Drosophila melanogaster: one gene and its partners. The protein of the gene in region 2 interacts with the protein of the main gene of each other region in a pairwise test. Each region holds a gene or a part of one and is shown on either strand. Other genes may lie near its edges. The genes, in order: CG14207, CG42390 and Xrcc2.

What was found.
Region 1: the proteins of CG42390 (region 2) and CG14207 interact in a two-hybrid assay, tested with the Drosophila melanogaster proteins (one large-scale study listed by BioGRID).
Region 3: the proteins of CG42390 (region 2) and Xrcc2 interact in a two-hybrid assay, tested with the Drosophila melanogaster proteins (one large-scale study listed by BioGRID).

What each region holds. Positions count from the first base shown.
Region 1 is NC_004354.4:19,602,330-19,612,071, reverse strand, and holds CG14207 (uncharacterized protein), read right to left. Parts: upstream 6,874-9,742; 5' UTR 6,569-6,873; coding exon 6,390-6,568; intron 2,610-6,389; coding exon 2,583-2,609; intron 1,935-2,582; exon of another isoform or gene 1,910-1,934; coding exon of another isoform or gene 1,818-1,909; intron 1,692-1,817; coding exon 1,610-1,691; intron 1,545-1,609; coding exon 1,449-1,544; intron 1,377-1,448; coding exon 1,182-1,376; 3' UTR 799-1,181; downstream 1-798. Other genes in the region: tyler, read right to left, coding at 1-60, 129-315.
Region 2 is NT_033777.3:22,117,139-22,124,002, reverse strand, and holds the start of CG42390 (uncharacterized protein), read right to left. Parts: upstream 3,943-6,864; 5' UTR 3,541-3,942; intron 3,157-3,540; exon of another isoform or gene 3,032-3,156; intron 59-3,031; 5' UTR 1-58. Other genes in the region: Ir94c (ionotropic receptor 94c), read left to right, coding at 4,549-6,363; Ir94b (ionotropic receptor 94b), read left to right, coding at 6,754-6,864.
Region 3 is NC_004354.4:18,496,335-18,501,785, reverse strand, and holds Xrcc2 (X-ray repair cross complementing 2), read right to left. Parts: upstream 1,660-5,451; 5' UTR 1,605-1,659; coding exon 852-1,604; 3' UTR 528-851; downstream 1-527. Other genes in the region: Pgant7 (polypeptide N-Acetylgalactosaminyltransferase 7), read left to right, coding at 2,350-2,554, 3,365-3,841, 4,284-5,377.

The DNA of each region.
Region 1 (9,742 bases), on a different chromosome or scaffold from region 2:
GTCGCTGGCGGATCGCGTGCTGCGTCTGGACGCGCGTTTTCACCACCTCCAAGGGCGTCACTACGGCCGAGTGTAGTAGGTAGTTTAGATTACGTCTCGGAGTGACCAAATCTAACCGACAAACTCACCCACAAATGTCGTGATGAGACCGCCAACGAGGGCGGACACGACTTGCTGCATTGGCTTGATGCGATACCGTGGATCCGCACTCAGGATCAGCGTGGTTAGCCGCAGCGGATCCATTTCCTTGCACTCCAAACGACACCCTTCCTCCTCGCCGCCATTTTCCATCTGGGACATTAGCTGCGGCGGCATCTTTTCGTTTTGTATTTGCTTTGAAAGGCGATTTAGAAAATCGGATTTGAGTATTTCCGGCGAGATGTCGCCTCACAATTTGGTTAATTGCAACTAGACAGGACCACCGGTCTCCAGGGAAGACATCCCTGAGCAGCGTCAACAATTTGGTTAGCTTGTGTTGCACACAAGCTATCTGAGTCGAAGGTTTTTCGGAACGAACTTTAAGTGGAAAAGAAATATTGAATGTTGAACTGAAACGTCAAGCCAAGCCCGTATGATGGATTTTTTCCCCATTTAAAATATCCCCGTATATTCGATTGCAAAGAAAAGTTGTATTGTATCATAAATAATATCATTCACCACAGTCAAATATAAATGAAATCCATATACTTTATTCAAGCCTCACGATTCCCTAAAGGGAAAGGCACATCATCATTTCAATTCAGCGTTTAAAAAGTGAAAATGGCTCAGCAGCAGCTAATTAGTCAATGATGCACAAATCCGCTGATCAAAATCCGCTCAGTTGGATATATATTTAATTTATTTTCGATGGAAGGAAAGGAAAACCAATGGGGGGCAACTACGGCAAAATTGATTACGTTTAATGCGAAAATTATAAATATGAATTAAATTAATCAAATTTAATAATAATTTCAATTATATTTAAGTTAATGAGTAGTACGTCAGTAACATAGTTTAGCTTTAAGTCAGAACCAAAAAAATTAATCATTTAGATAGGATTGGATTAAACTCAATGTGTGTATGGATTTAATCTGATCGGCAGCAGCTCGCACTCCTCCTGCTCCTCCTGCGCCTATTGCTCCTCAACCGGCTTGGGACCATGGTGACTGGATAGCTGGACAACTGGACAACTGGGCTGGCCTTCACTTGTGCGCAATGGGAATCAGTGTCTCGCCGGCGGTGAGTGCTGGCAGGGGGGCGTCCACGGTCAGGACTCCGTCCTTGCTGAGGGACGAGCGGATGGACTCGGGATTGACGCCCTTGGGCAGCAGGAACTCCCGATTGTACTCCCTGTACACGCTCTTTGTGTCCGACTTCTCCTCGTGCTTGGCGTGCACCTAGTCGAAAGGAATCAGATATCCATGTTAGATAAACTCTGCAAAACATAACCATCCTGAGCAGAGACTTACCAATAGCTTCTGGTCGACGGTTTTCACAACAATTTCCTCGGGCGCATACTGGCTGACATCGAAACGCAGCTTCAGCACTTTGTTATCGCCCTCATCCTGCAAAGGGGGATATATAAGTGTTATCCTTTGGCAACCAAGAGTAGATTCCTTGCATTGCTTACCTGGATCAAGGGTGAGCTAATGTCGGAGACGTAGTTCTGTTGCTTTGGGATTCGGGATGGCAGCGCCGAGTTTGTCGTTGAGCTGCAAATAAGTTGAGACGAACATATTGTACATGAGTATTGCAGTTGAGTGTTGAAGCGAAACTTAAGAACAAGTAGACTCGAAATAAAACCAAAGGTGTTAGGGTTGCGTAGGTGAGGTAGGAACCTGGTGGAGGAGTTTGTGGTTGTTGTAGTAGTGGTTCTGGTGGTCCTAGTGCTGCGAAAGGTATTTTGCAGTGTGCGCGTAAAGGCCTCCATGCTGATGCTTCTCCGGGATGAAACTGATCCGGACGTAACGAACCCAACTTAAATGAAGCCGCGATGCTCGACGCCTGTCTAATAATAGATCTGGCTTCCGCTTGAAAGCGATGTACGTATGTATGTATGTACATGTGTACGGATCTGGGGGCAGCAGCTGTCACCCTCGAAACATAAATCTCCCCATATGTCTGTAATAATTTCTATTTTAAGGAACTACCCATAAGGGAATTGAGAATTAAGGCTTCATGTATCTAGACTACAAATAAAACTATTCCTTGCTTCCTTGAAATTGTATGCATACATATGTATCTATGTATGTACATATGTATGTATGGATCGCATCAAAACGGTTTTCTATTATGAAAAACTGCCTATACTTACAACTTTTATAATTTTATCTTTTAGTTTTAAACGAACTGTATGCATTTCTAGTTATGTATTTGCGTCTATACCGGGCTCAAAATTGTTTATAAATAAATGTTATAGTGTATATTTGGCGATTAACATGCGATGCATCTGGTAACGAGTTTCTAGTTTAGTCTGTGTGGATTGCAATAACATTAAACCAATACATTAGTTACCAAACAATAAGGGGTTGAGTGAATGAAAAAAACATTGAGGATAAACAGAAAATAAAAGTTTAGGTTGTAAACTTTCTACGTTATTGTACCTGGTAGTTGTTGTTTTTTTAGTAGAGCTTTTGTTTTAAGAGAGAGGAGAGGAGATTATTATTATGTGGAAATTATTGCGGTTGTTTAATATTTCCAAGCGGCAAGAAAGAGAAAAATAGATAGAAATTGTTTATAATGAGTTAGACAAAAAGATAACTACACATTATCGTACAAGGGTGAGCAATTTTTTAACTATTTTATAAAGGTACAGCCTTGACTCGATATTAAAGTTCTGGAATTTTTAACAATGATCAATGAAAATTTCAAGCCATTCATATGTTTTCTTGTAATTAATATTTAATCATTTTTGGTACATGTTTCTTATGCATATGTACATATATTAATGATAACTCCTTTGTTTTCCGCACTTCCAGTCCCCAATTTCCTTTAGAATGCAAGTTTATCTATTAAGATCCAAGTGTTTCAAGCATAGCATCTAAAAAAAAAGAATATGTATATTACCTACAATAGAGGAAAGTATGCATAAAATATTTACATATTTACCCAGGAAATAATTCATTGGTCCATAATTGTTCACTTTGTATTACATTTTGTCGCACTGCTTTTTCACAATAATTTTTATTTTTAGTTCAAATTAGTAAATCTACACTTATTAAAATTTTGTGATTTCATTTTAAATAATATTGTATTCTTCACTTCACTCTCACATCAATTGATAGGTAAGTCGTTTTTTTTTAAATATTTTTTATGGTTCACCTTAATTTGCATTCTTAGCTTACGGGATTTGATTGACCGTTAAGCCGCTGTGCGTGTCGGCGATGAAGCCAAAATGTATGTGTGTATCTGTGTGTGTGTGCATGCGAGCGAGAGTCGTTGATAAGCGGCCATCAATTGGCACTCCGCAAATTCTGAGCAGAGGCAGAGAAAGCTTATCAATCGGAGCCGAAACGTGAACGTGCGTGGGCTTATTGGCGACCTTGCAATGTGCTTTGCGAGGTTGATCGCCCCTCGAAGAGAGAAATCAATAGCGCGCTAATGATAAGTACCAATAACCGTTAGCCGCCTGGCCAAAGTTTCTTTGGACAGCATGAAGAGGCACCTGCCCTCCCACTCTGGCAGCCGCTCTCACTCCCACCCTCTCCGGCCAGCCCACGTTTTTACATGTGTGTGAGTTGTGTGTGTGTGGTGCGACTACAATATCTCGCTGGCATCTGATGACAATGATGTCATGCATATTTTTTCGTTATTGAAAAGCCAAACGAAAGGAAACCAAAGAAGAACGAAAATAAACACGGGCGCGAGAGGCGGCCAAAAAACCAGAACAAGCGCAAACAAAATGGCTCTCTTTAGTTGTTTGCGGTGTACGCGTGTGTGCGTGTGTGTGTGAACAAATGTCGAATTAAAATATCGATTATCGACGACGATCGGCGTTTTGTCATCGATTGAAATCGAATTGAATAGCATCGAGTCGAAGCGCAGCGCAATAGCTAAAAATTGACATGATATCATCGCAGTTCGCTGCTCATTTGAATTATCAGCATCCAGCCAACAATATTGGCAACTAAATCGCCGCAGCGTGTGCTCATCGCAACTGAAAACTGTCCGTGTGTGCGAAAGCTTTTCGCACAGATCTATTTGCTGGTTAAATATGTGCATATGTATGTATGTATGTACGATCCTAGCGCACTTATTTGTTTAAACTGTGCGCACACACAATGAGTCTATAAATTAGGCAAACCGTTGGCATTGCCTATGTTTGGTAGCCATCCCATCCCATCCGATCCGATCTGGCCAATACAATTTCCATGCATTTGCATGAGATAATCGCACCAATCTATTTTACTGGGAACCGCATCCAAATCCATCTGAATCCGCACATTGTTCATATCTGAAGGCGCCAGCATTGATGTGCGGTCTTTGCTTATGGCCAAGTTGGTTAAATGAGGCCCTGCACTACACACAATCTATCGTTAGTATGTGACAGTACGTACATACATACACATATGTATGTATATACATACATATGTTCAAGAAAGTTTTATTTAAAATGTGCAAATGGCCTGAACAGCTTTTGGCAGCTACGCAGGAATTGCATGTTTGTAAACATGTTTTTCTTATGCCATAATAATAAAATATACATTGTTGGGAATGTATCCAGTTAAAAGCATAAACTATTGCTTCAAGTGGCAACTTCGGTAGGGCATAGATACACCTACCTGTATGGATTTATTGCCCTGTATATGGGGCGTGCGTTTATTCCGTGCTGAGTCATTCAGATATCACGCAGCGCTTCAATTGACAACACGCCACAGCCACAGCCAAGCCGCTTAGGTCAAAGGTTGCGGACAGTGGGCAGTTATGGGCGAATGATTGAATTATTTGGCAAGTATATATCCAATACTACTACTAAGCTACTAAACTACGTGGCCAATCTGTGGCGATTATTAGGCTAATCGCCCGAAGCAAGCCCTGGCGCACAACTTATGCCGCCACTGTGAGTTTCCCTTCATTTCCAATTAAATTTGCAGCCAGGAGGGCACAATACCAATTTGGGTTAATTTCCTTTCACTGCCAACTTTGACGTTGAATGGGCAAAGTTGTGGAGAGGAGCGCTACCAAGTTCTGAAACAGACGGAAGTCTGGTGGGGGGGAGGGGGGTGGAGTCGTAACATTTCTGTTGTGGCCATGCAAATGCAGTGGCGACCATGGCGAAGGCAACAACAAATAGAGTCCATCGGTTCGATTGCGTCATACGGCGAGGTCGTCCCAATAGCAACCAAAACTGGCGCCCACGCAACGCAACTCCAATGGAAAGGCTAACGAGACGCGCAACCGCGACGGCGTCGGCGACATAGTATTTGCCATTCGCCTTTGGGGCATTGTTTGTTTATTAATCGCTGATTTGGGCAATAAACCTATGTTCATTGAAAATGCCACTCGTAACATTCAACTGGAATTTCTCTCTCTCCCTCTCTCTGATTCGTATGAATATGCGAGGGTGTTAAAATACCGCCGAATCACTTAATTGACTTGCAAATGGAAATAGATTGCTAGGTAAACGCGTTTGTCACTTATGTATGCTTTAAAAACAAGTAACTACAAATGGAAATAGTTAGAGATTTAATGAACATTATTCATGTGTGCCACCGATCGTTTCAATGCTTTGCGTTTTCAAATATTTAATTTTGCTCGCAGAGACCAGATTTTAATATCTTATCTCATTATCAACAATTACATTTTTCTGCTCAGCTAGAAACCCACACACACACACACATATAACGGAATATCTTGGCACAGGTGATTCTCAAAGTTCGAAAAATTCCGTTATGCCCTACATAACGGTTGCATAAACCGTATGGGACTCGAGATCGAGCGAAAGGGGAGGGCACAAGACGCTGGCTAGCCATGTGCCGGGGCGGGGGAGGGGGATTTACTAGCGGGTGGCGGGCAGCAGATACACATGTGTTTCTTGGCCGGAGACAGCGGCGGAGAATTTAGAACTGGTGACTCATCCTCCCCCAGAGCGACGGCAAAGAAATACACATAGTGTATCTGGGGCGAGAATTGAAGCGGGCCGCTCGCCTCCTATGAGGCCCACTGTTTAGTACATACATATGTATGTATGCACGTATGTACATATGTACATACGTAGGAGAATCTGTGGGTGAAGAGCTCCAGACCAGTGGGCGATGTGGCAAGATGTGCGCCTATATTTAGAGGAGCCAACAACGAGGCGATGAGTCGAGCGATTCGGGATTGGGTTCCATCGCAGTACACCCGGTAGAATCAGGCTATGTGGAATTATCCCAGTGTTGGGATCCCACTTGTATCACTATTACGCTTACCTGGTGGACTCGAAGAAGTTCGCCTCGCGGTTCATCAGCTCGTGACGGAACTTGGCCATCTCCTCCTCCATTTTGCGCATCTCGGAGTCGAAGCGCTCGCGGATGTTGCTGAACTCCGTGTCGATGACGCTGAAGTCGCCCAGCTTGATGGGGATATTCCTCTTGTTAGCCTCGGCCATTGTTGTGCTGTTTGTGGTGGTTTATTTGGTGGTTGCTTCGCTAGATGGAATCTCCAATCTCTTCGCTGTACACTGTATACCGTATATACTGTATATACTGTATACCGTTCTATTATTCTCTGTTCTGTTCTGTTCTGCTCAACGCGCTTTCGAGCTTGTTCACTTGCTAATCGACGGAGCAACCAAAAAAAAAGGGAACTCGATGGGTTTTCTATATGTATTCGAAACTCAAGACGTTCAAGTGTGTGATTTCGGTTGGACGTATCGCACAGATAGCCGCGTTTCAATTTCTGAACTGTTTTGCATTCACAGTGTGTCTTTGCTTTTATAGCTTTCGTACCGATTGTACTTCGATTGCCGCTGCGCAGCAGTGTGGCGATATCGATAGACCGATGAAGCCGCATTTAGTCATCGATTTGCGGATTTGATTATGTTTCTATTGCCATTGGATCAAAAAGAACTTCTATCCGCAAAGGGAATTGTTTAAGCGTACTTTAACCACTAATCGTTAGCGGACCACCCAAAACACTATATTCGCTGTATTGATTTTGTATTTTATGGAAATAATGACGCACGGGGAACACATTTAGAAGTGAAACAATAGTTGTAAGACAAATTTGGTTTATACAAAATGACCGAAAACAAGGAAGCCATGATTTATTTTCCGTTAATAAGCTAGTAATTCATAAATGCAATGAAATAACATAACACATTTCAAAGCTCCTAAAAAACTTTCTAGGAACAAGTGTTCAATTAGCAACAATTAATTAGTTGATGATCAACTTGATCTTGATAAGTATGCTTAAAACTTCTCGCGTGGGAGCCATTCAGTCATGGAAGTGAGTTCCTCGAACTGTGATTCCAATTGCATCTGGTTCAGCATTTGTGTGCTGTGAGTGCGAGTGGAAAGTGTGAGTATGAGTCGTGTTGAGTTAACCGGTTAACCGATCAACGCTTCCTACCGTTTTGGGAAATGATCTTCGGTATAGAGAGAAAGAGAGAGAGAGAGAGAGAGAGTTGCACATTGGTGGAAAGTGCATTTTCCGTCCTGCGGTGGGTTGGCATTATCCATCGTCCTAAAATAGAACATCTATGGCGTGATGGCCCACGATATCTTGTCCATATTCGCGGGGTTACTTACACCCAGAGCTCATCATCATTAAGACCTTAAATCAAAAAGCCAATTCCGCCCATTGTGCGAATCGATAAATCCCAATATTAGACCGGGTGGGTGGAGAACGTTGGCGGCCCAAATACACGCAGAAAAATATATGTCATATATACATATGTAAATTTAAATATCTCTATGCTGAGCTAAGATTGGAAATTGTACTGTTGTAAGCTTGTTAGCTATAATAGGATATGTTTCCTAATCTAACAGAGAGGCATTATAGTATCTTAGTATCTGTGTCGTTTTCTGCCAGTGTGCTTGGCCATATCCATGGTACTACCCACTCCGCCGCATCGGTTTGTTTGTAAACAAATGCGAAATGACTCAGCCGCGTGACATTGGCGGTCGGAGTCGAGAATCGGGAATCGAGCCAAGTCGAGTCCATTCGATTCGATTCAATTCCTTTTAGGGAGCGTCGGCCAGGGGAATTAAAATTTAAATTGAAATTAATGAGAGCCGGATTGCAAAGTTGCAACTGCAGAAAAAATGTGCGATATATATTCATAAGTTTTATGAACCATATGCATATTTAGCTAGACAAACTAGATTTTTCTTCAACTTAACAATTGCATCTCTCATCCATAAGAAAACTCATTAGCTGGAAATTTGATATCTTTTAAAGCTGTTATTGCCTGCACATAACTTACATTCTTTTGTTTTTTTTTTTTAAGTGCAAGTGCGACATATTAAAATGCAATATTTTGAATCCGTGACCGTTTTACTGCTCGAAATTCCATCGGGGACAACGGCAGTTGTGCCATCAAAATAATTATAGACTTAATCACGAATTTCGAAAATAAAACGACAATCATCGTGGCTTAACGGCTGAGGTGTTTTCATTGTACATCCATACATACATGTGTACATATGTACATATGTATTTTTCACAGCGCCCACATGCTCGCAATGGCTAATGGCTAATGCCCCCTGTCCAAACAACAAACTCATTTTCATCAATAATCTCGACCTTGAAGTCCCCAGTGTCCCCACAAAGCATACATATCGGTATTCAAACAAAATTAATTTTTGAAAAGAGGATTCCAAGTTTGCACATTCGTGCACGTTTCAGTCTTAATTCAATTGTATTTTGTGCCTTTTCAAATCATTCAAATCAATTTTGTTTGATTTCATAAATTCCAATGATCTAGGTGGATCTAATAAATATTGTAGGAATCATCTAGAAACATGAGTGTGCAGTATGTGTATTATTGTTTTGCCAAGCCAACTGAAAGAACGTACATATTGTACATACATATGTACATACGAATGTACAAATCTCGTGAAGATCGACAAGAAATTGGGAAAACAAATTTTCCCCACGTCACCAGAGAATTCTCGACGAAGCTAAAGCAGAGCAAGTGTATATACATATATTTATATATATATATATAAGTGTATATATATAAGTGCTCTAGTCATTTGCCGGCATGTCATCCCACTTAAACTCATAGTCCATTCCAAATCGAAAAAAACAAAAACAAAATAAAACGAAATGTATAGCTAGCCAGCGAGCCAGCAGCCACCTAGCCACCCCCTCGCAGTCAGAAATCAATCAAAATTTACTCGCGATGATTTAGCATGGAATTTTTGGTCGACGATGAGCGCTCACTAATTTTTCAGCTCGACCAAATAGCGATCTACTCCTGCGTGGGCAGACTCATCCACTGGCGGCCAGTGGATGGCTTCTGCTTGACGACAGCATCGGAATATATGTCAGCCGTCGTGGTATTCAAACAAAGTATGCTTTCGCCCATGCGGATTGTTGGATTGTTGGACATGTATGTACATATTTATGTACATAAGTGTAAACGCGTATTACGTATACGTACGAGTGCAGCGCCTGTGCGGGCACTATTTAATTATAGGCGGGCAGATACACAAATTAAACTTTATGAAGCGCAAAAACGACAGTCGGCTATTTATTGTTCGAAACCGTAAGCCGTTCACGGCTTAAATCATTTTTGTTTAGCACCAGAGCCGTGAGTTGCTCAATTAAATTACAC
Region 2 (6,864 bases):
ATCGTTGTTGCTTTGTTGCAATTATTTCGAATATTGTTGTATTTTAAATGCTTTCAACCTGTTGAAAATATTTTCACAATTTTATATTAGTTTTGGCGGCTAGTGGATGGGCGGTTTAATTGTCGTCAATTAGTTTAACCGCACGCACTCAGCATCACATACATATATATATATATATATGTATATATATATATATGATTTGGCGGATTCACTGACTCGACTTGGTCGGCGGATAAACTGCGACTGTCGCTCAGTCGGCAATCCAAGCGATGCGACTTCTACAGCCATAATGATCGCCATCATGATTATTAGGATAATCACGATGATGACAATAATGCTGGACAAATATGAGTAACAACATTGCGCGCGTGTGAGTACTGGTACACTTCAAAAAAATTAGGAATAAAACAATATCAAGCAAAGACAAAATATACAAGTGTAATTAGAAAAAATTGTTTTAAAGATTAATTAGATTTAGCAGTACTAAAAAAACATTTTTTTTTTCGGTATGATAAATAATCATAATATATTTTTCTAAGTGCCATGTAGGCACATGGCATAATTTGTTTTAATTATTTTACAGAAGGAAGAACACACGCTCGCAGGGGTATACCGCCTTTGGTAAACTTGATAATTGCTTATGCATATTAATTGATGAATAGAAAGTGGGGGCCATTTACTCTATAGTCCAAGTAATGCGTCATTATGTGTCATTCGATGAGCAACAACAATTTCCTAAGGCATTCAAATAAGCACAATGGAAAAGTGAAACCTATTCATCTAATTGGGTTATTAAAATGATTTCATTCATAGTTTTATTAAGTTTTAAAATCATCTTAATACTGAGTATTAATCTGTTGGCATAACTTATGTTTTAAGAAATATGCTGATTTAAACTGAAATAAGTTTGTACTTTTAAGTAAACTCCTAAAAGTATGCCAAGTAAACCAAAGAAGTCGTCAACCCCTAAACATTTTTCTTTACTATTTTTATATTTTTTCCAGTGCCCTTTTAGAGATATATGTACACATGAGTCAGCGACGCTCCCCAGTCATTAGTCTTTCCGCTGAAAGCAAAGTTCAAATTGCACTCAGCAGGCCAAAAATAAACTAATTTCGATGCACCGAGCACAAGATCATAATCCTGGTGCAACTTCCTTCTTCCCGTTCCCCTCTCGTTTACCATGTTTCATTACCCTATTTCAAGTTCAGGACGCTCTCTTCCATTCCGCACATAAACGAACCAATTATAGGCAGCAATAAAATAAAACACAGACCCGCCAACTTTCCAAAGCAACGAAATCGGCGGAATAAAACTAAAAATATCTATTCGAAAAATTTCGCTCGTAGGGCTCTCATTGACGTCACTTTGGAATTGAAATGAAAATCCGGCGCCAGATCACTGTAATTGATGTTTCAGAAGATTTATAGATAATCCAGTTTGGATATACAAATTAATTGATTTTTCTATGACCTTTAATGAGTAATTAAATGTTTTTAGCTTTTTAGTAATAAAGTACTTGAAATATGGGTCAAAATTCATTAAAAGTTAAACAAATTTGAAGACAATCAGAATAAAAAGCATGCTTAGCTCAATTTTTAATTAAAAAAATGGATGAGATTTATTCCAGGAAAGCCGACAGTAAAATTAATGTTTCGTGGAACAATTTGCATTTAAAGACAGCTGCGCAGTTTGCACATAATTCCGATATTTTTTTTTAAATGTATATAGATAAAAACCAAACGCCTCCAAATGATCAACATTTTTAGAATTGTGAAAAGGTGCTGGCAGGGGGATTTGGAAAGATCTGGTCTGGTCAAGTGCATGACGCTCTTACTTTTGGCACGAAATTCAGAAACGGAAATGATGCAGTCGAGTATAATGGGTACGAAATGGAAATTCCTATATGGCTGATCAAAATCACTCCAAATCAATAAATATACTTATTTCCTCTATTTTTTTTTTTTTTTGTTTTTTTGTTAGAAAAAACACTGACCCACTTCATAAGTCGTTCAAGTTTACAGCCTTCAACCAGATGGCATAGACTTTATATCATTGTTGAATTTACATTTTATATTTCTTGCCAATTGTTGCACAAGTTCAGAAATCCAAAGCAAACAAAATTATAAACATTTTTAACGTGAAGCAAAACAGAAACGCAAAAATAAAAGATACATAAATGATAAATGTATAATAAATTTTGCACTTGGCCAATGCCAATGCCCCAACCCATAGGCCCAAAAAGCTCAGTCAATAAAAATCCATTAAAGAATTCTTTTAAAATAAAATGTGTTAACATATTTATGTTTCTGGCGAGCGTCTCTATCGCGACGGAGGAGGTAAAAATTAATAGAAATTAAAGTAATATGACACAAAAAATGCCACAAACAAAAAATATGCCATAAATATTTGGCATGCTTTGTCGTCGTTTGAACATGTGTTAGCAATCGAGAAATATATGGCAATACATATTAAGAGTTTTGATATGTACAGTGCGTTTCGGGTCTATATGGATACTTATTTTTTATATGCTGGATGATTATGAAATTAAAGAAACACATTTCAAAACTATTTGTTTAGAATATGCGCTTTTTGACGCATATATTTTTTATTATTTAGATATTCCATGTATGCTAAATGCTTTATGAAACGCACTGTACATTGCCAGCAATATGAATATGGTTCGCACCAAAACACTGAATACAAAATCCACTTGAAAATGATTTTTCTAGACGAGCATGACACGCATCTTGGTCGGAAGAAGAATATGGAAAGTGAAGTACTCTCCGTTTCATATGTGGTCATGATTTAAGTTACTTTGCCTTTAGATGCAACACCTTCGAGCACATTCCCCATACTCCACATTTATTTACATTTCTTTAGCCCGGCAATTGTTTGTTTGTCGCCGCCCACACACTCGACCTGGCACTGGGCCAACTGACATTGACTGATGCCAGATCAGGCAGCGGATTTAAAACATTCTGGCCATAGATTTTCCGTCGCCCAGGGACGGGTTAATATTTTTACTAGCCTTTTGGATTTTCAGCCTGCCCGTCTGTTTAGCTGCTCCTCTGATGATGATCTTCCAAACAGTATGCTCTCTGAACTGCCCGACTTTTCCGTTCCACTGCCCGTGGAGGTGATAAAAACTGTTTACTACACATAAAACAGATATGTAAGACTTTGGCGAGGGGGGGGATCTAATAAATTTCAAAATTAGTGAAACTATTAATGCAGGCGACAGGCGACAGAAATTGATTGCGACAGGCACGCCTTGAGGTGTTGAGCGAGTTAATCGAGTGTATCTTAGCAGAAGCCCAAACAATAACAAATATGTAATGCGTATCTGCAGTGATGGCACACAAAATCAACTTAAAGCATTGCTTTCACTAGCTATTTATTTAAATATATATATTCTATACATATTTACAACATTAGGTCATATTGTTAGATATTCTGCAGAAATGGGTATGAGTTTTATAGTCAGTTTTTGCTATGAATTCTGTTTAATTTCAGTTTAAGGGTATGAAAACAACTTACTGGAAGGTATTTTTTTTTTTGTTACAACTCAACAAATTCAACAATTTCCGCTGTACTTGTGTAAGCTACAGCTAACTTGAGTCATATAAAGTAATTATTTAAGGAGATTATTTACGCAATTAGCACGAAACACACACAGGGCACAATTTGATTTGACACTGAATGACAATTAATAATTGTTAAAATTAAATTTTCTCATTTCCGCTAGGCCCACGCCCACAAGATGTTGTGTAGGGGGAAAAGTTGGGGAAAAACACTTGTTAAACGCTGACAGGCAATGGCACATGCTCGGGCGTTCCAAGCGCATCGACTGCCCAGGGCGGAAAATTCATTTTTCACTTTTCACAATGCCGTCTCACGGCGCTCGCGTTCCAAACGGTTCAGCAAACGGTACACGACTGCAAAAGTATCTGATCTTTTTCGGCGAGGAAAAGTGCTGCTGCCGCCGAGGAAAATTGTCGCTCGGCCGACGCTATCGATAGATTCTAGATGCCGGTCCACTCGACGTCGATCAGTTGGCCAAATGGAATCGGTTAACCGAATCGTATCTCAATTGTTGCACAAACAAATGGAGCGGGAATGGCAGCATCAGTTGACCCATAAATGTGGAAAAACATTCCCAGTGGCAAAGGCAAATATTTTCCGGATCAGCAACTGGATTGGTGCAATAATATCATGATGTAGATGCCGGAAAATTAAAGCTAACCGATTTCATTGTTTTCTTCATTTGAGTTTGATTATTTCTTTACACAACAGAAAGCTATTTCGATGCCTTTCGGGGATTAACCTATTCGAGTTGTTCGAAATCTACTAAATACTAGGAGGATAGAGTTTCCAAACTATTGAATAGCAATTAAATTAATTGCTAAAATTGCTGTGCACAACATTTGACAGGTGTCGTCGCTGGCTATCTTATGATTGGTTTCTAGGAAGGTAAGTTGTTTCCTGGATATTCAGTTCAGTTCCAACTTTCTAGAGCTGCTTAAACTAACCCAAGGCTAACTAAAAATGTCAAAAGTGTTCAAATTATTAGTTTTACCACTGATATATCTATCGCTGACCAAAGGAAGCAAGAACCCGCAGCTAAAGTTCCTTAGAGAACTCATCAATGTTATAGAGGAGGGTCGAGAAATTCGAACAATAATGGTAATCAAGCATAGTCGGGATGAATACTGCCATCTTGACCAATGGAATCCACGTGGAAGTCCTATCCTGAGGACCAATGAAATGGGTTCCATCCGGATTAGTGGCTACTTCAATGACCAGGCAGTTATATTAGCTTGCATGGGCGAAAATTCAGACTATGGGCTGCTTAAAAGTCTGGCCAACGCTATGGACAACATGAGGCAGGAGAGGATCATACTGTGGAGCGAAAGGGAACCCACGAAGATGTTGATGGACTACATCTCTCAGCAAGCCGATAGGTATAATTTTGCTCAGATAATAATCGTGACAATGAACGAAGATGTCGATGCAGTACCATCACTTCATCAATTGAATCCATATCCGACTCCACGATTTCGCCAAATAACAAATATATCCAACATAAGGCGAACCAGTTTTTTTGGCTGTGGGTTAAGTTTCCAAGGTAAAACGGCCATCCTGAAGGAGAGTGTGGTTTCGAACATTCGTTTTAAAGTATGGTCGCCATCAGGCCCAATTCCCTTATCCGAACTCAAAGATTATGAAATTGTTCAGTTCGCCGTTAAGTATAACTTGAGTTTGAAATTATATGACCAAAATGAGTCTAAATCAGACCATTTCGATATACAGTTAGGACCACTTTTCATAACCAAAGATTTTCCCACTCAGATGGCATTCGTAAGTCCCAACACCGCCTGCTCATTGATTGTCATAGTGCCCTGTAGTCCGAAATGGCGCTTTATGGATGTACTTCACAAATTGGGTGTACTGAAATTGATAGGTTGCCTATTGATTGCCTACGCGGTTTTCGTTTTGATAGAAACCCTGATACTTTGGCTAACCCACAGGATATCCGGTCGAGAAGTTCGTCTGACCAGCTTAAATCAACTGCTAAATCCTCGAGCCTTTCGAGGCATTTTAGGTCTGCCATTTCCGGAGTTTCGCAGATCGAGCATTTCACTGCGACAACTCTTTTTGGTCATAAGCGTTTTCGGTCTTGTCTATAGCAATTTTGTTAGCTGCACATTAAGTGCACTGCTAACGAAACCAGCTCAAAACCCTCAGGTTAGAAATTTCAAAGAGTTGAGAGATAGCGGATTGATAACTATTATGGATAAATATACTCACTCTTTCATCGAAAAGCATATCGATCCAGAGTTCTTTGATCACGTTTTACCCCACTATTTAATTCTGCAAAAGAAAGAAGCTCTCAGAATGATTTGGAATTTTAACGATAGCTACAGCTATGTAATGTACACAACTACATGGAAATCGTTGAATACGGTCCAAAAGTCTTTTGATGAAAGGGTTTTTTGCGAATCTGAAAGTTTGACCATTGCCTGGAATCTGCCACGTATGTATGTTCTGGGAAATAATTCGGTCTTAAAATGGATGCTGTCAAGGTATATCACCTACATGCCACAAACGGGTATTCCCGATTCTTGGACTGAACAACTTCCTAAGGTCCTTAAACTTTTATACAATGTTACCTCTCCTCGCAGGATTAAAGAGGGAGCAGTTCCTTTGTCCATTCAGCATTTGAGCTGGATATGGCATCTTCTGTTCATTGGCGAAAGTATCGCAACACTGGTATTTATTGTTGAGATACTTCTCCAGAAAAGTAACCAACACACAAGCAATATGAGAGAAAGATCAAGCGAAGATGACGATTTCGTTTAGAAAGATATCTAAGAAAAAACTTAACCATAATAAGCATATTAATGTTATTCAAAAAACTCATACATTAAAAAGGATGTATACTAAACACTTTGTAATCAAAACGAACAAAAATATGTTTTCTTTCCAATTTGAACAAATTACAACGTAAGTTCTACATAAAAAAATAAACTTCTGAATACCAAGAACACTTTATGATTAATCATTCAAGCATTCAATATCACTTAAACTGATGAAATGCCATTAAATTAATCCAGATTAAAAGTGGCAGCTGTCAATTGAGAAATAAAAGTTAAACACGACCTGAGTGCGCGACTACTAAAAAAAAAAGGTTTATGTTTGAAGTTCAGTCTTAATTTGCAGGAGGTGATACCACTACGTGAATTACGAAATATGTCACTTATATTTAATTTACTATTTATACTTATTTTGAGCCAGGCTGTTAGTCAGGAAACTGAGTTCCTACAGCTAAAATATCTTAACAATATTGTGCGTTCGATGATT
Region 3 (5,451 bases), on a different chromosome or scaffold from region 2:
ATAATCGTATTTAAACAGATAATTATTTATTGAAATTACATTTAAATTAATGATTGTATTTAATAATAATTTTTACTAATTTACCGGCTTTTAAGCACTACCAAAATCAATCGGCGGATAACATTAAAAAGCCCCCCCCCCCCCCCTCCTCTCCATTTTAATTGCCATTACCATACACCATCATATTGCTTCTTCTTAAAATGCTAAGAAAACGATAAAAAAGGAAAACGAAAACGAAAAAAAAAACTGCTAAACAAAACCACCTTACTTATGTATAGCTTTTAGAAATCATTAGTTTTAAGTATAATTCTGGTAGGGTTGGCCTTCTTCAAAAACAAAAAAAGAACATAGTGAAGGTTTCAACACAATTTTAAAGAACTGTTGTATTTTTTTTAATTAAGATAATATTACTGATATATAATATTAAATATATTACTGAATGGAATAAGTCATAAAAGCGAACTTTCCTTCTAGATCTATATGGACTATAATTTTCTTTGTTCGAGCGGGTAAAACTAGGAAGATATCACGGAAATTAAAGTATATTTGAGTTCGTAACTATCTAGATAATGTAGAAGTTATACCTTTTTTTTAACTTAATTAGTTGCACAGATTACTTTCTCACTCATAGGCCTTGAAATTGTCTAATAAAGGAGTAATAACAAATATAATTTCTAATCCCTAAAAGGAAGATATTATTAAAGTTAAATTGTTAAACTATATACAATTTTCTTAACCTATCAACTCTATATACAATTTAATCAACTCTATATACTCTATATACAATCGTTTACTTCTTTCAGTTCCTAGCATCATTTTGTCCTAAGATTAATAATAATAATTTAACTATGTTAACTGGGCTGAGTCAGCAATGCCTCAGTAATTTCCTTGCTAGTATTTGTATCCAAATGAATTCCATTGCTAAACGACAGCGGCAGTCCATTCAAGAGGATCTGGTTTTGAATCTTCTGCATCCTGACATGGTACTTTATGCCAGCCTCGGGCAAGTTTTCGCCAAAACGATTCTCCAGAAAGGCAGACTCCACCGTGTACATGCCGCAGACGATGGCATCCTTGCAGAGCTTCTCCAGGCGCGCCTGGAGCAATCGATAGTGGCGATACATGGACATTCTCTTGGCAATCTTAGGCTCATCTAGCCAGTAGAATTCGCTGAGTGTGTCCATGGCAACCAATTGTATGCCAGGATCATTGATGATCGCGTAGCGGGCGTCGATTAGCGACGTGGAAACATCATCGTTTGCAAAACAGTTGAGGAATCGCACGCGACTCATGCACTCGCCCGCAATCTCGGCCAGCTGCTCCTCCGTGGGGCATTTCGCAGCAATCACTTCGCCGACAGAGTACGCCTTCAGCTCCATCCTAATGCTCTTGGCCAGAGATTCACGGTTGATCTTGTGACTCAGATTGATCAGCAGGACGCTCCACTGGCGACCACCGAATTTGTAGGGCACCAGGCAGTGGGCCACCAACTGTTGGAGCACCAGGCTTTTGCCACTGTTCCCTGGGCCGGAGATCTCCACCAGCGTATCGGCTTCAAAGCCGCAGGAGCCAAAAACGGCAAAGTGGAGTTGATGTGAGCCCATTAGGTTAAATTTACAAATTTGCGCCCTGGCATAAACAAAGGAGTTATCGATTGTGGCCTTTATCGATGACAGCCACCTAAAGTTGAATTGCGCAGCGCTGAAACATATTTAACACTAAATGGAACTAGGGCATATCGAATAGTTAAACAACAGCAGCAAGCGTTTCGTTATAACTTTCAGTTAGCATTTAGACTTATTTGCGCACATACATAAAAAAAATCCATTTTCACCACCCTGTGTTATCGCCCAGCCGCCTATCGCTGCTGGTGCCTAATTTAGCCCTAACGCCTGGGCGATGATAGAAAAAACGGCATAACGCGTTCTTACCAGTTGAACATCGTTTTCTACCATTTTTTGTTTACGTTTGCACCGCGAATATTCGTGCACCTGCACTCGCAATTTGCTCAAAGCCAGCGGCGCTTTTTCGCCGGCAAGTTGCTCCGCACCGAGTTAAAGCATCACTCAGGCGGACGAGCTGGTGTACTCCAGTTAGCTTCTCGCCCCAGCACTTGTAATTGTCATTATCGGCGGGGCGCCTTTGATCATTCAGCGGCATCTCGAATCCGAACCAAAAGTGGTTCTTTTGTTCTCTTTCTGCTTTGTGGCCACCTTTCCGCGCTCCCCGCTTACCGCTTCCCGTCTCCCGCGCCGTGCTTTTTCTTTCTGGCCACCTAGACACGTCAACAGATTTGGAACTTTGTAACTGGAATCTGGAACTGGGCATCGGAATCGGAATTAGGGAGAGATGCGCGTGAGCACCATCCGCAGCGGTCGGATCTGCCGGCTGGCATTGTGCCTGCTGGTACTGCTGCCGCTGCTGTATCTGCTGGCCAACTGGAGCGATCACCACAAGCGCGTCCAGGAGGCGTATCACACGCGCTTCGGCGGACCCAAGTTCGCCCACCAGCGATTGGAGGGCAGGCCCAGGGAGGTGCCCAAGCTGGTCGATGGTAAGTGGCTACAGGATCGAGGATAGCAATATCAGCCCTTGACCAGGATAAAGAATAGGATTGTGTCACCCATAACGTGAGCCTTGCCATTAAGATTCCTCACTCACGTATTATACAATTTTATTATGGAGGACTATCATCAGAACTAAGGATACAGAGTAGTTACCATATCATTGTTGAAAAGACCGAGTTGTTTGCTTACTGCAAACCCAGCTAAAGAATTCAGTAATCTTTGCTTTATATCACTTAAAACCGGCTTTTGCTCGTTTTAACCAATTAATTACTTGCCATGTATGCTACATAGTATTCAAAGAAGTCTTTATTACCACGTTTAGCGTGAGTAAAGTATGGTTGGAGGTTAAAGGATAACCTTTTCCAACCCATATCGTACAGTCTATTCCCAGTCTAACTTACGAGCCCATTTCAAATATTTATCGCATTCTATTATACATTCTCCAAAACCGGCTTTGTAATGGCCCTAACCAACCAACTATCAAATTCGGATAGAGTGAGAAAATAACCTCATAAAAGTCATTTTTACTGCACAGCCACCAAAACTAGTGTGTCTTTAGTCTTTTGTATCAAATGCTAATTCTAGTCGTAGAATATTCCATATGACCATAAGATGGTTAGATGATGGCATATTATTGGTCTGTAATACCCCGCCTTTATGCATAAGTCTGAAATTATAACCCACACCTCCTGCAAGCGCATACAGTGAGTGGCTGGGCCAATATTTAAACAATTGCTGTAAGCTTGCATAGGTAATTTGCACGCGCCACACTCACAATTTGTTTTTGCGTTTTTCAGGCCTTGGCAACTTTGAGCCGAAAGATGTGAAGCCACGTAGCGGGCCTGGCGAGAATGGCGAGGCCCACAGCCTGTCGCCGGACAAGAAGCACATGTCGGACGCCTCCGAGATGGAGTACGGCATGAACATCGCCTGCTCCGATGAGATATCGATGCACCGATCGGTGCGGGACACGCGGCTCGAAGAGTGCCGCCACTGGGACTACCCCTTCGATCTGCCGCGCACGAGCGTCATCATTGTCTTCCACAACGAGGGCTTCTCGGTGCTGATGCGCACCGTGCACTCGGTCATCGATCGTTCGCCCACGCACATGCTGCACGAGATCATCCTGGTGGATGACTTCTCCGACAAGGAGAACCTGCGCAGCCAGCTGGACGAGTATGTGCTGCAGTTCAAGGGGCTGGTCAAGGTCATCAGGAACAAGGAGCGCGAAGGTCTCATCCGAACGAGATCCAGGGGAGCCATGGAGGCTACAGGTGCGTATAGCCCATATCTCATTTATGTATATTGTTATGTGTTCTTGCATAACTTGCATAACTCATGACGGCTTATCGCATAGTTAAAAGAACGTGTTGTATGGAAAACAATAGTTTTATCTTGAGATGTTTGCATCAAACGCTGAAACGCCAGCTATTTGGAATTTGAATTGAAGATAACTTCACGTTCCGCTTTGTGGCAATGATAAACCTTTAAACTGCAGACTCATTGAATTTCTTTTACATTTTCTCAGCATAATAGAATTGCCTATCATTGCAATTGAAGCAAGATTATCGTCGATTTCAAACAAGCCTTTTAGCATAAACAGTATGCATAGAAATTTACAAATTACTATTTTAAAGCATCATCCTTTAAATCATCATATTAACCCACAACCTTATAAATATCCACACAAACACTAAACTGCTTTGCATCCCGCAGGTGAGGTGATCGTCTTCTTGGACGCCCATTGCGAGGTAAACACCAACTGGCTGCCGCCCTTGCTGGCGCCCATCTACCGGGATCGCACTGTGATGACAGTGCCCATTATCGATGGCATTGACCACAAGAACTTTGAGTACCGGCCGGTTTATGGCACGGACAACCACTTCCGCGGCATCTTCGAATGGGGCATGCTGTACAAGGAGAACGAGGTGCCACGTCGCGAGCAGCGCCGCCGTGCTCACAACTCGGAACCCTATCGCAGTCCCACGCACGCCGGCGGCCTGTTCGCCATCAATAGGGAGTACTTCCTGGAGCTGGGCGCCTACGATCCGGGTCTGCTGGTCTGGGGCGGCGAGAACTTCGAATTGAGCTTCAAGATCTGGCAGTGTGGCGGCAGCATCGAGTGGGTGCCATGCTCTCGCGTGGGTCACGTCTATCGCGGCTTTATGCCCTACAATTTCGGCAAACTGGCTAGCAAGAAGAAGGGTCCATTGATCACGATCAACTACAAGCGCGTCATCGAGACGTGGTTCGACGACACGCACAAGGAGTACTTCTATACGCGCGAGCCGCTTGCCCGCTACCTGGACATGGGCGACATTAGCGAGCAACTGGCGCTGAAGAAGCGACTGAACTGCAAGAGCTTCCAGTGGTTCATGGACCACATCGCCTACGATGTGTACGACAAGTTCCCGGGTCTGCCGGCCAACCTGCACTGGGGCGAGCTGCGCTCGGTGGCCTCCGACGGATGCCTGGACTCGATGGGCCACCAGCCGCCGGCCATCATGGGCCTCACATACTGCCATGGAGGCGGAAATAATCAACTGGTTCGGCTCAATGCCGCTGGCCAGTTGGGCGTCGGCGAGCGCTGCGTGGAGGCCGATCGGCAGGGCATCAAACTGGCCGTGTGTCGTCTGGGGACAGTCGACGGTCCTTGGCAGTACAACGAGCACACGAAGCACCTGATGCATCGCGTCCACAAGAAATGCATGGCCCTGCATCCGGCCACGCAGCAATTGTCATTGGGTCACTGCGATGTTAACGATAGCTACCAGCAGTGGTGGTTCAAGGAGATACGCCCACGCTGGTAAGTCCAGCATGTTTGGGAGGAGCAGCAGGAGGAGGAGGATCAAGGAATGGATCACAAGGGTTTCAGCCGGGGCAA